3 linked regions of the Macaca fascicularis genome follow. The protein of the gene in region 3 interacts with the protein of the main gene of each other region in a biochemical or structural test. Links are inferred from orthologs where the notes say so. Each region holds a gene or a part of one and is shown on either strand. Other genes may lie near its edges. The genes, in order: FGF10, FGF7 and FGFR2.

Region 1 (4,236 bases), on a different chromosome or scaffold from region 3:
CTTCTTCCCCATCCTCCTAACTGAATGACACCACAACTATTTTATTTTAGAAGAAAATAAAGTTTTTAAAATTTTAATCAAAAACCTTAAAGGTTATAAACATAGGATCTAATGAATTCAGGTAACAAATGACTTTTAAGCAAAAATAATTGTCATCATTATGACATTATTTCAGCTACTTTCTATGAATCAGGTAATGTAGTACTTAATTATCTCTAGTATGAAACATAAAATGAAACACTTTAAAAGCACTTCTACACGTATTTTTATTACTTATAAACATATTGTGAATTTTAGTAAATAGAACCAGTGGCTGAGGAGGAACAGAAGTTAATGTTGAGTGTGTGTGCATCCCCACAGAAGAAAACTAAATTCTTAATTATTGTAAATTTGTATTCAAAAATAAAATGCTAAATTCTGGTCAACTGTCATTCCCATTAGTACTTGGTACTTTCTAAACCAAGGAATCTTTAAATGCTTGACTCATGTATTTAAGTTAGCCGACAATCTATGCTTAGAATTCCTGAAAAACGAACACAAAAATGTCTCCTTTAAAGGTGACTTGGAATTTACCACTGAGATAATGCCAAATGGTCACTAAAGATGTTTAAACATCATTGTTTACTGTTTTCAGTGTGCCATTACAAAGTCTTGGGTTCCTTTCACATAATAATCAACAGGGGATGAATAAGTCTCACCACTTGAAAATAACTGAGAAAGGAAGTCAACAGAGTAATTTGGCTTTGCTGGGTTGATTCAAGAAGAGACACAATATCCACCCCTCCTCTTCTAGTTCTCTCTCCCTCAACCAGCCCACACCCCTGCAAGAAAGAAGTAAGGGAAAGAGAGAAAGAAGGAAAGAGAGAGGGAAAAGGCAAGAACAAAATCTATGGATCCCAGGCATAATTTACACTGAGGAGAAAACGTCACACTGTAGGATAAACTATAGCCATGGAAACAGACTTATGACTTTTACTTTGAAAATAAAAGAATGACAATGAAATTTGTGTGAGGTCTGTGTGAATCCAGCCCCAGATGTTTACAATGCTGTAGTAGTATGGCTCTGCAATATGAGAGGTTTCAGAAGAAACAGTACAACAGGACACCACGAAGCAGTGCATACGCTATTGACAATGCAGACACGAGCATCATGTTACCAAGAGAGAAGGCAGGCAGAAGACAAATAGCAGCGGTGGTGCCTGAAAAGCTAACTTCATGGACTGCAATCACTCAAACTAACATAAGGGACGCAAAACAAAACAAAACAAAAATCAAAACCAGAAAAATGCTTTTCCCTCATATCTAGAGGTGCTGGGGTGAGGGGATGGGGGTGGGGAGAGAGTGGAATTGATTTTTCTTTCTTAAATAAAGTTCCCACAAAGCCCCTATAATTGACAGCGGATGATTATTTTCAGCTTGAAGAGCCTGTCCCAAACTTAACAAGATTTCCAGGGAAAAGAAACAAAATGTGTTGACTTGAGCCATTTCCAGAAGGAAGGAAAGAGAGCTCTTTGGAGGAGGTGGGAAGGGCGGTGGAGAGAGAAGAGGGGCATCTTTGCTCTGCAACAACTCTCTTGAGCGCCCTGCGTGGTCCGGCGAGTGACAGGCTGGAGGGAAGGGGTGTACAGGGCGCCAAGGGGTGGGGGATGTGGAGGGAGCGCGCTTAAGGGAGGCGATGCGGCAGCACAATGTATACACGCGGCGGGGGGGCGGGTGGTGAATTAGTGTGAAAGTATTCCACTTAATCATTTTACAGGGGTTGGGGACGTAAATATTTAGCTGGCCACATCTGGAAGAGATTTTTCCCCCCCCGTGTGGGCTGGGGGTGGATAATTGGAAGGAGGGGAGCACGCATTTGTTACTTACTGTACGGGCAGTTCTCCTTCTTGGTCCCGCTGACCTTCCCGTTCTTTTCAATCTTGAGAAAGTACTTGGTGAAAGAGAATAGCTTTCTCCAGCGGACATCTCCTTGAAGGTGATTGTAGCTCCGCACATGCCTTCCCGCGCTGGAAGGAGAGGAGAAGGAGGAGGAAGAAGAATTGGTGGTCTCTGGTGACACCATGTCCTGGCCAAGAGCTTGGCAGGTGACAGGGACGCAAGATACCAAGAACAGCAACAAAAAGCAGCAGCAGCAGCAGCCTGGCAGGTGGGGAAAGGCTGAGGCACAATGTGTCAGTATCCATTTCCACATTGTACTGAAACTCTCGGCACTGGAAATTGTCTCATCAGAAGGAACATACTGGAAGGGTAAGACCTGGTGCAAGGCAAGGAGAGAGTTCGAGGTGGTGGCTGCTGGTTAGCTCCCTCTGGGCGCGGATCTGGCCAGAAGTGAATGCACCAACATCCATAACTCCTTGGAAAAGCCGGCTGCCTCCCCTCGCTCCTTTCTGGGATCCGCTGCCTGAGCCTCTGGAGCCTCCCGGTGAATGGTGGACGTGGGTGGCCGCAGAAGCAGGAGCTGGTGGTGGCGGTGGTGGTGTTGGTCACGGCGCTCTTCGCTCCCCCAGGAGTTACTTTGTTCTCTTCTTTGCTCCTTTCTTCACCATGTTAGATGCCAAAAAGGTCTGAAAAACAGATGACAGCACGGTGAACAAAACCCAAGGGAGGTGGGGTGGGGAATAGGGGAAGATATTTGCGCCCTTCTGCGGTTGGCACCTTCTGGCCTCTCTCTGCGGAGCCCCAGCCTGCGAGCCGCTTCTACAAGTGTATCCCTTTGGAGTTGTCAGAACTGCAGGCAGCTACCCAGTCGCCGTTGTTTTCTTCCCTCTCTTCCCTTCTGTTTTTAGTGGTGCCTGCCGATTTGAAGGCTGCCGAAAGCCACTTTTTGTTTTGGGGGACGGCGGCTGATGTTTTGTATGGCCCTATCCCCCACCCCCTTCCTTTGGAAAGTCCGCTTGTAAACAGGTTGAAACCTGGAGTCTAAATGTCAGTGATTCTAAGCCAGAGGTGGGCTCTGCCTCTGCTGGTCAAACCTCATTTGCAGGGGTGGAGAAGAGGGGGGAGGGGGTCAACCGGCGGTGGGACATCTGAAACCCTACGCTGCTGGGAACGCCAGGGAGAGGGAGGGTGAAAGGGGCAGAGAAGGGGGTGGGGGAGCAGGGGAGCGAGGAGAGAGCGCGATGCCTTTGCATCCAGCTTGGGGGCTGCCAGGTCCCTTCCTCGCAGCTGCTCTTGCGGCCGCAGCCGCCGCCGGCGCCTCTAGCTCTGGCAAATTCGTTGCTAAAGCGTCCTGCTCGCAGCGCGGGCCACGGCGCTGACGGTATCCTCCAGCTTTCCGAATTTTGCTGTCTTCCAGCCTGAACTAATCCCTTCTGGGGAGCCCCTTTCTCACTTGTTTTCCAGCGTAGGATATCCTCCCCCCCACCCCCATTTCTTTTGGCAGTGAAGTACTTGAGAGCCACCTGGAGCCTGATGCTTGGCTGACTTTTTCCCCCTTCTCACTCCGAGAAGAGGAGAGGGCTGGGAGAAAGCAGAAGATGCTGAGGATTTTAAACCCTCCAGAGCAGCAGATTATAAACTGATCGGAGCGAGCACAGAAAAGGAAGACATAATTAGCGTCCTTTCCTCCTCTGCTGCCAGCTTCCAAGGAGGTCTCCTCTTTAATGAATCACTGATTTCTCGCTTCCGTTGCTGAAGTAAAAAGTTCACACTTTGGCCCTTTCTGCCTTTTAAGCTCAGGGAGATTTATCGTCACCCTTAAAAGTTGCCTCTCTCTTGGCGCAAATGAAATCAGGGACCCAAATAACCGATTTCTAATTGCTAACATGAGCCCTTCACTGAATCACGCGTGCACTTCAAAGCAAACGCACTTTATGGCGATCGCAAAGATTTTACCATACAGTTTGGCTGAATACCCTGCTGTCTGTTTTCTTTTCTATGCAATTTCCTTTGCACTTAGTCAGAAAGTGGAGGTTTTTTATTTTTTTATTTTTTTAATTTTATCTATCTTCACATTTTATGTTTAAAGGGCTCTGTTTTACAATATCACTGCTCTAGGAGTCTTCCTCTCCTTTTCACACTCTTTAACGCCACTCCAACTCCCCCCTTGCTCGCAGAAACTAGCTCACAGCCCAGGTATTGACAGAACTAAGTCCAAGGCTAGGAAGCCTTTGCCAAGAGTTAAGAGGCACAAAAAAGGAAATACTGTGATAATCCATCCCAATCTGAATAAGAAACAACTCCTAGAGGACCACTTCTTTAAGAATGACTCTAAACTAGGGAACGTTTAACTAGAAG
Region 2 (3,083 bases), on a different chromosome or scaffold from region 3:
GGCTGACCTCAAGCCCTCATGACATTCAGGGCCCCTTATTCCTAACTGTATCTTCTATTTTGGGCATTGTGCTCTTGCCATCTAACAGGAAAACAACTTTCAGTGCTGCCACCTTTTGAACAGCAGAGATTTCTAGAGATTAGAAAATGACTAAATTTAAATACACATAGTTTAAAAATATGATACTTTTCTACTCATGCATTCAAATATATTCTAACTTTAAAATCGTGTAAATACTTATATTTGTAATGATTTCACTTATATGATCCAATTAATTGGCAAGAATATGTGGCAAAAGATTTTTTACACATTTGTATTGTTCCGTGTGAGACATCTATTGTAAGCATTGCTTCAGGCTCTCATTTTTGTCTGCCTTCCAGGATTTGCTGGCCCAAGTGCTGTGTGCTAGACTTAGTGTCAGTCACAAAGGGGAGGGAAACTTGCAGTTGAGCCAGACAGTTTTGTTATTCCTTTAAAATTAAAAGCATATGAAACAGATAGAGCTTATTAAGGTTTTTTTTTTTTATAAATAACATAAACTTAAATAACAAAACAATAAAGTTCAAAAACAACTTAAAATAGAGTTTAATGCTGTAACCATAGGAAAAAAAGCATGATTATTTGTGGGAAGAACATTATTAAAAGCCATATTCCCAAATATGAATTATACAAAGATAGATTATGTTACTTGAAAAAAACTTAAAGATTTCTCAATTTTACTTTGAGGAATTATAAAATGTTATTTTGTGGCAAGTGAGATGAAGTACAGTATTATCATCAATCACTGTTGCTATTTTATATACAAGATTTTTGGAAACATCCTTTTAGCAATACCCTTTCCACTTGAGCAGCATTAGAAATTTTGTTCTTGTTAATAGGTATAAGCATGTTCTAATCCTGTACTTTTGTTAAATTATCTATTTTACTGACTTTCATAATAGATTTTTTTGGAGAATATTCTTTTTTTCTGATTAGAGTTTAAGTAGATTATAATTTTTCACTAGAAAGCATTTAAAATGCTGCTAATTTTCCATAGTTAGTGTGGCTTGATTATCTGACAAATCCTGCCAGCAGCCTGTAGGTCTGATATACCTTATATAACATCATCTGCATTATTATTATTATAGCAGCCATTTTATAAGCAGATAGGAATATTTAAATAATCATTATCAGATAATCAAATCTAACATACTCTTAAGGGTAAATTAATTTAAGAAAAAATTACTATTACTAACACCATGATTGTACAACCAGTTTTACAATTTTTTACAACCTTTAGTTACTAAATCTGATTTTTGTGTATACTTTTCAAATCTTTCTTTAATGCAGTGTCTTAAACATAAATGCACAAGTCCAGCTTGATCAGTTTTTCAGTAGTTTTCCAGCCTTTCTTGGTTACTAAAAAATAAAAGGAAAGAAAATTTTGAGAAGAAAGAAAACAGTCCACTTAAAGAAATCTCCCTGCTGGAACTGGTTCTTTATATACCATATACAATTAAGTTATTGCCATAGGAAGAAAGTGGGCTGTTTTTTGTTCCTTCTTCGTTTTTTTTCCTCTTACAGGAATCCCCTTTTGATTTAAGGCAACAAACATTTCCCCTCCATTGTGTGTCCATTTAGCTGATGCATATGTGTTGTAATGGTTTTCCAGAATTAGTTCTTTGAAGTTACAATCTTCATTGCATTCTTTCTGTTAAAACAAACAAACAAACATTATTCAGATGATTTTTAGAGAGGCTCAATTAAACGAAGAGTAAGCAGGTAATATTTGGTAGAATTGAAACATACATGACTTTTTTTAACCCTCAGATTGAGCAGGCCAAATGTGGTTTATCAGCTATACTTATGTGGTATATTTGCATAAAAAGGTATCTTAAATTTAAAATAAAAACACCACGTAATACACAGTTAGTTATGAAATATGTGTAGCTTTTTGGCAGTTCATGTCAACTATTCTTTAAAATTAGCACCTATTTCCCCCTAAGTAACAGGCCTCATATTACTATTCCCACATCACTCATTCTTTAACCACTGGAAATTTGGTGTAATTAGCCTAACTTCTGCCTCCCTCAAGTGAGAGACTTGTTTCACAACTTTTCTTTATTTACTTCTACATTGTGTTCAATGGTAATGGAAGATAAAAGGTTAATTTGTTTGTTCATCCATGCAATCATTTGTTCATTCAATTAAACCTATATCATTATATAATTAGCCTGTCCCAGGCATTATGCTGAGCTGTGGGAATATAAAGGAAAGCCAATTATATTTTATTATAGTGGGATGAACTGTTACATATTTTGCATTGTAGTGAAGTGGGAACAATGTGAATAATTACAGTTCAAAGCCCATGATTGTGAGATTGATGTTGATAAATGAACTAAACATTTCAAGATTTTTTTCCCAAGAATTTTCATGTCAGCAATGTGCAAGTTGGGTGACCTTTAACAAAAAGAGCTTTAATACTGGCAAATGGAAATTTTGGATTTTAAATATCTAAAATGCACATGGAATTTTAGAGCTGGAAGGATGCTTAGAGGTCAGTTCATTCAACTCATTTTACAGATGAAGAAACCAAAATCCAAAGAACAAGCCATTTGTCCAAAGTCACACAGAAAACATTTTTTTCTTAATGTTTGAGTAAAAAGTGTTTTAATAAAATCATTATATTAATACAGTTGGAGATAAATTAATTCCATTTTTACTTTTCAGAAAGGTGAGATATTTTGACAAAAATTAGTTTTAAAAATTAAGCCTAAGCTATCAATTATCAATACCTTTGCATAGAGTTTTCCTTCCTTATTCATTGCAAGATAGAATTCACTTTCCACCCCTTTGATTGCCACAATTCCGACTGCCACTGTCCTGATTTCCATGATATCTGCAAGGAATCACAGAAAGACATGTCAAGTATTCGTTCAGCTTTGCAGATGATCCAAGAATGGCCATTTGTTCTTATTTCTGTTTTAATTGGAAGTTTTAAAAATTTTTAATGTGATTATTTACTCAGCCCAAGACCCCGACCCACAACAGATACACACAAACACCAGAATAGTCATTATATAAGGGAAGTACAAACTGATGGG
Region 3 (4,340 bases):
GTGTGTGTGCATGTGTTTTCAGATAGCTTGAAAGATTTTTCCTCCTAACTTTTCTTTCCTCTTAATCAAGAGCCTCAAAAGATAATTTCGGATCTATTTCTACACATATGTGGGAGGAAAGTACACAAACATTCTCATTGATTTACTAAGCATTTCCAGAATGCAGGGGAATTTTCTACCTCTAACACGCCTTCAGGAACAATCCTAAGTCCTCGCAGAGGTTTCGCCCCAGGCTCCTTCCCCAGCCTGCTCCCCTACCTGTCCCTAACCAGAGAAGCCTCCTTGGCTCCAGGCAGAGAAAGGTGGACAGGGCTCTCCGCTGAATCTCAAGCCATTCCATCATCCTGCTAGCTTGCACTAGAAATTTGCATTTCAGCCATTTCCAGGTCCAAGCCCCACAGCAGCCCCCTCCCCAAAACTCTGGAAGGCGGGGACCTAAGGCGACAGGTCTGCACAGCTCCTCACCCAAGTGGACAAAAGTATGGTGCGACCTCCTAGGCAGGATAATTAGGTCCCCAGGCTCGGTGTTGGGAACACAGGCCCAGCATGCCGCTGGCGGCCACAATCCCGGCTTCCTGCCTTCAATGCCATAATCCTTCCTGGAGTCTGAGCCCCAGTGAAAGCCCCAGCGTGTTTATTTTTCCCCTTGAAAGGGAACTCTCTTCTCAGCCTGCACGCGGGAGGAGTTGTCACCCTCCCTCTGATGGATGGCTCTTCTCGGCCGCCCGCCCCCCCCCCCCCCGGTCCATTTTCACCTCGGCACAAGCCTGCCCCCAAAGACAGGCAGAGTGACAAGCAGGAAGGGCTTGGCTGCGGAGTGGTCCCCATGCCAGGCCTGTGCTGGGCTCTTCAATTTACCATGACATTCCCAAAACCCCGGCCCTCCAAGAAGGCAGATCAATACAATGCCCTCCGCTTTGGGCTTCCACCTAAGGGGTGATCTGTCGACACACTGCTGGCTCGGCCACCGGGAGCACCTGGCGTTTTCTTCCTAGGTAGATTTCACATCAGGAAAGTCAACAGTGCCCGGCTCCTCCAAAGTGCAGACCCATCTCTTCGCTTAAGGCCTCCCTACTTCTCCCCAGCACTGAGTAGGAGCGGGAGCTGTCAAGGGGTCAAGTCTGGGGGGGAAATTCCTCAACAAATTGAAATCTCAAAACACACACACTGACTCAGGACCACAATGCCCTCCCAGTTTAATGCTTGCGTCCAATCAGAACTTGCGAGCAGCTTGGGGGTGCTCCTCACCACCACCCCCTTTCAGGGCAGCACTTCTTTCATTTGTTTGCCTGAAATATCCTGTTTTTCTCCCCCTTCTCGGGGCGCTAAAGAGCTCAGAGAAATCTGCATTTTAATTGACATTCCAGGGAAAGGGAGAGGGGCGCCTGATTGCTTTTCTATTCAAACTAAACAGGCTTTTCAGATGAAAATGAGTCGAGCCCGGTGGAAGATTTACAGGGATTTGGGACCAGGGGGACAATGGAGTTTTAAATGTTGATAGCGTTTCACACCAAACACATAATGGGTGCCCTGAGTTTGAAAGCAGGTTTGCCTTTAAGGGTAGGTTTTATTGTATTGGGCGAAAAGAAGGAGGGTCTGGAGAACGATCTGCAAGGGAGTGGGGTGCGAGGAGAGCGACGGAGGCTGGTGCCCCCGGGCCGGCCTCCTGCGCCAGGTTCGCGGTCCGCGAGGGTCGGAGCCAGCGCCACGCAGGGCCCTCGGCTGATTTCCCCAGCGCGGCCCCGTCGCCGAAAGAATGAGCAAGAATGAGCGCGCAAGTTAGAACTCGCCTGCGCTTTCGACATCTCCCAGCCGCTGCGGCAGAGCAAGCAGACGAACTAGAAAAAGTCGGTCCAGTTCGCCCCCTAGCCCCAGGCGCGCTGCGCTCCCTCCAGCGCCGACGGCGGCTGTGGGCGAGGGGCGCCCCGGCACCGAAAACCAGGCACTGGAGCCGTCGCCTCCCCAACAGTGCCACCCTTGACCATCGCCACCCCTACGGGATGTCACCGGCCCCACCCCAGCGGCCCCCTCCCGAAAAACGAGTCTCCGTGGGGCCTGGATGGGACGGAAGTTCCCAGGACCCACGGATGGAGCACCTCAGAGATGCCCCCTGGGACCCGGCCTGCGGGGCTGTGCCACGGGCAGGCGAACCTTCGGCCAGTCTGCTCTGGGGTCGGAGAAACGTGCCCAGTCAGCGGGAATGCGCCCGCCAGGGTTTGACAGGGAGGGGGGCGTCAACGCCAGAGGCAGATGTCAGCATCTGGATGGGGGTGGCAGAGGCAGAACTTCCCGAACACCGGCCGTCAGCACGCACCCACCTCCCCCATCACCTATGCAGCCACAGAGAGAGGACACGGAGGGCCCTCCACAATGCCAGTCCTTCCGCGCCCCCCGCCCAGAGGACTGTGCACCCGGCGTCCCGGGCTCCCCTGGCGTCCACGTCCCCGACTGGGGAAGCTCCCCGAGGCGTCTTGCGCGGCGATTACCTTGAATGGCAACGCTCCTCCGCGATCTGTGTTATCCCCGCGCCCCGCGTGGGTCGGGATGGAGAAAGCGACGAGCCCGGGGTTGAGGGGAGCAACTCCAAAACGCAGAAGAGTGGTCCTTGGGTCTTCGCCGGCGCCAAGGCTCCCGGGCTTCAAGCGTACCCCAGGCTGCGGAGGAGCGCGGGCATGACGCCCGCGGGCTGCCCTCGGATTTGGGGAAGGAGAGAAAGAAAGGACTCAGGCTTGGCGTCGCCTCCACCAAACTTTGCTCTCGAGTTGCGAAGGCTCAGAGCGCGCAGGCAAGCTGCGGCCTCGGGGCCCCCGGGGCTCGCGGCCGGCCCCCGCCAGCCCGGAGAGCAGTCGCCGCGCCGGGCCAGGTACGCCGCATGCAGCCCCGCGGCGCCCGAGCTTTGTGGCGGCCGCGCGCGCTCGCTCGCCCGCTCCGCACCCGCCGCCCGCCCGCTCGGCTCTCCACCGCGCTCTCCTGCCGCCGCCGCCCGCGCCGCTGCCGCCGCCTCCGCCTCCTCGCGGCGGGTCACGCCCCCGCTGAAACCCGAGCCGTTTCCTGGACGGCGGCGCCCTCTCTGCCAATCAGCGCCGCGCGCCCGGGCCGCCCCGAGCCCCGCGCGGCTCCCGACGCCTCCGAGCTGCCGGAGACACCGGCCGGGGAGGCGAGGGCCCGGCCGCGATCCGGCCGTAGGGATGCAGCGACAGCCTCCGAATAAGGCCTGGTCCCGCGCCCCGCGCCACCTCCTCCCTCCTCCCCGGGCGAGCGAGGCTGGCCAGCGGCTCGCTGAGCGGCTGCGTTACGTTGTTTTATGTCAAGTTAGAAAACAAGTGACCAAAGGCTCTAACCCTGCCCTCCCCGTAAAGAGACTTTAAAATGCGCCTTCTTGGTACTGCGGGGAGGGTTGTCAGGCAACTGAAGCATTTGGAGGAGAGAAAGCAACTTGGAAATGTTCGCAGGACATTGCATTTTTCTGTCCTTCTAAACAATAGAAATGAGAGGAAAAAACTGAATATTAATGGAGGACCTAGTATGTGAGGGTCACACTACATAGGTGATTCTATTTCGTCTCCCCAACCACCCTGCAGGGTACTATTCCCAGTTTCTGATAAGGAAACTAAGGATCAGAGAGGTTAAGTAATTTGCCTAGGATCACACAGCTGGCTACTAGGAGAGCCTGACCTTGAATGTGGCTCTCTCAGAAAAAGTCAAAAATTGCATCCAAAAAAAAAAGTGTTTAGTATATATGTTTGGATTAATAAAACGAAATTCAAAGGAGTCTAAAGACTCTACCATAAATAGCTGGACCTTGAACAAAGTAATTCCTCCCTCTGAATCTTAGATTCAAAATCATAAATGCAAAATCTGATTCTTCAACTGCACGCCAAGCTGTAACTGGTTAAAGTTCCTATTTCCATTCACCTTTTCACTAAGCCATGTCTTCAGAATAATTTATTTTAAATATGCTTTTTCTCCCTCCTTATTCATCCAGCTCCTGAGCAGTTGTGCTTAAGTTCAAGACATATAGATTAAAACCTTAATTATTTTTCTTTAGAAAAGGTCACTAAACCCAGAAATGCTTTAGAATCCTTTTGAGGCCTAAAGATAGATGAAGCATTGAGAACAAACCTGACTTGGAAAACAGACTTTTCCTGCATTTAGAAACGTATTTGCACCTGTGTCACTAACATTGCACACTTCATAACATTTACAAAAATATTTTTCAAGGTACCACATGATTAGAAAATCATTTTTATTCACAATATAGCACAGAAAACGTTTATACAAGTTACTTAAAAGCCATACAAGTAAGAAATCCATTTAACTGTCTCAGGCAAAAGGCTATA

Evidence for each region.
Region 1: the proteins of FGFR2 (region 3) and FGF10 are reported together in a solved structure, tested with the Homo sapiens proteins (3 studies listed by BioGRID and IntAct, with this or other methods). The link is inferred for Macaca fascicularis from reciprocal best matches to the Homo sapiens genes FGFR2 and FGF10.
Region 2: the proteins of FGFR2 (region 3) and FGF7 form a complex in vitro, tested with the Homo sapiens proteins (3 studies listed by BioGRID). The link is inferred for Macaca fascicularis from reciprocal best matches to the Homo sapiens genes FGFR2 and FGF7.

The regions. Positions count from the first base shown.
Region 1 is NC_088380.1:44,932,153-44,936,388, forward strand, and holds the start of FGF10 (fibroblast growth factor 10), read right to left. Parts: upstream 2,929-4,236; 5' UTR 2,656-2,928; exon of another isoform or gene 2,565-2,655; 5' UTR 2,192-2,564; coding exon 1,867-2,191; intron 1-1,866. UniProt on the Homo sapiens protein: Plays an important role in the regulation of embryonic development, cell proliferation and cell differentiation. Required for normal branching morphogenesis. May play a role in wound healing.
Region 2 is NC_088381.1:25,997,588-26,000,670, reverse strand, and holds the end of FGF7 (fibroblast growth factor 7), read right to left. Parts: intron 2,879-3,083; coding exon 2,775-2,878; intron 1,691-2,774; coding exon 1,496-1,690; 3' UTR 501-1,495; downstream 1-500. UniProt on the Homo sapiens protein: Plays an important role in the regulation of embryonic development, cell proliferation and cell differentiation. Required for normal branching morphogenesis. Growth factor active on keratinocytes.
Region 3 is NC_088383.1:130,601,718-130,606,057, forward strand, and holds the start of FGFR2 (fibroblast growth factor receptor 2), read right to left. Parts: upstream 2,960-4,340; 5' UTR 2,487-2,959; intron 1,143-2,486; exon of another isoform or gene 978-1,142; intron 609-977; exon of another isoform or gene 466-608; intron 1-465. UniProt on the Homo sapiens protein: Tyrosine-protein kinase that acts as a cell-surface receptor for fibroblast growth factors and plays an essential role in the regulation of cell proliferation, differentiation, migration and apoptosis, and in the regulation of embryonic development.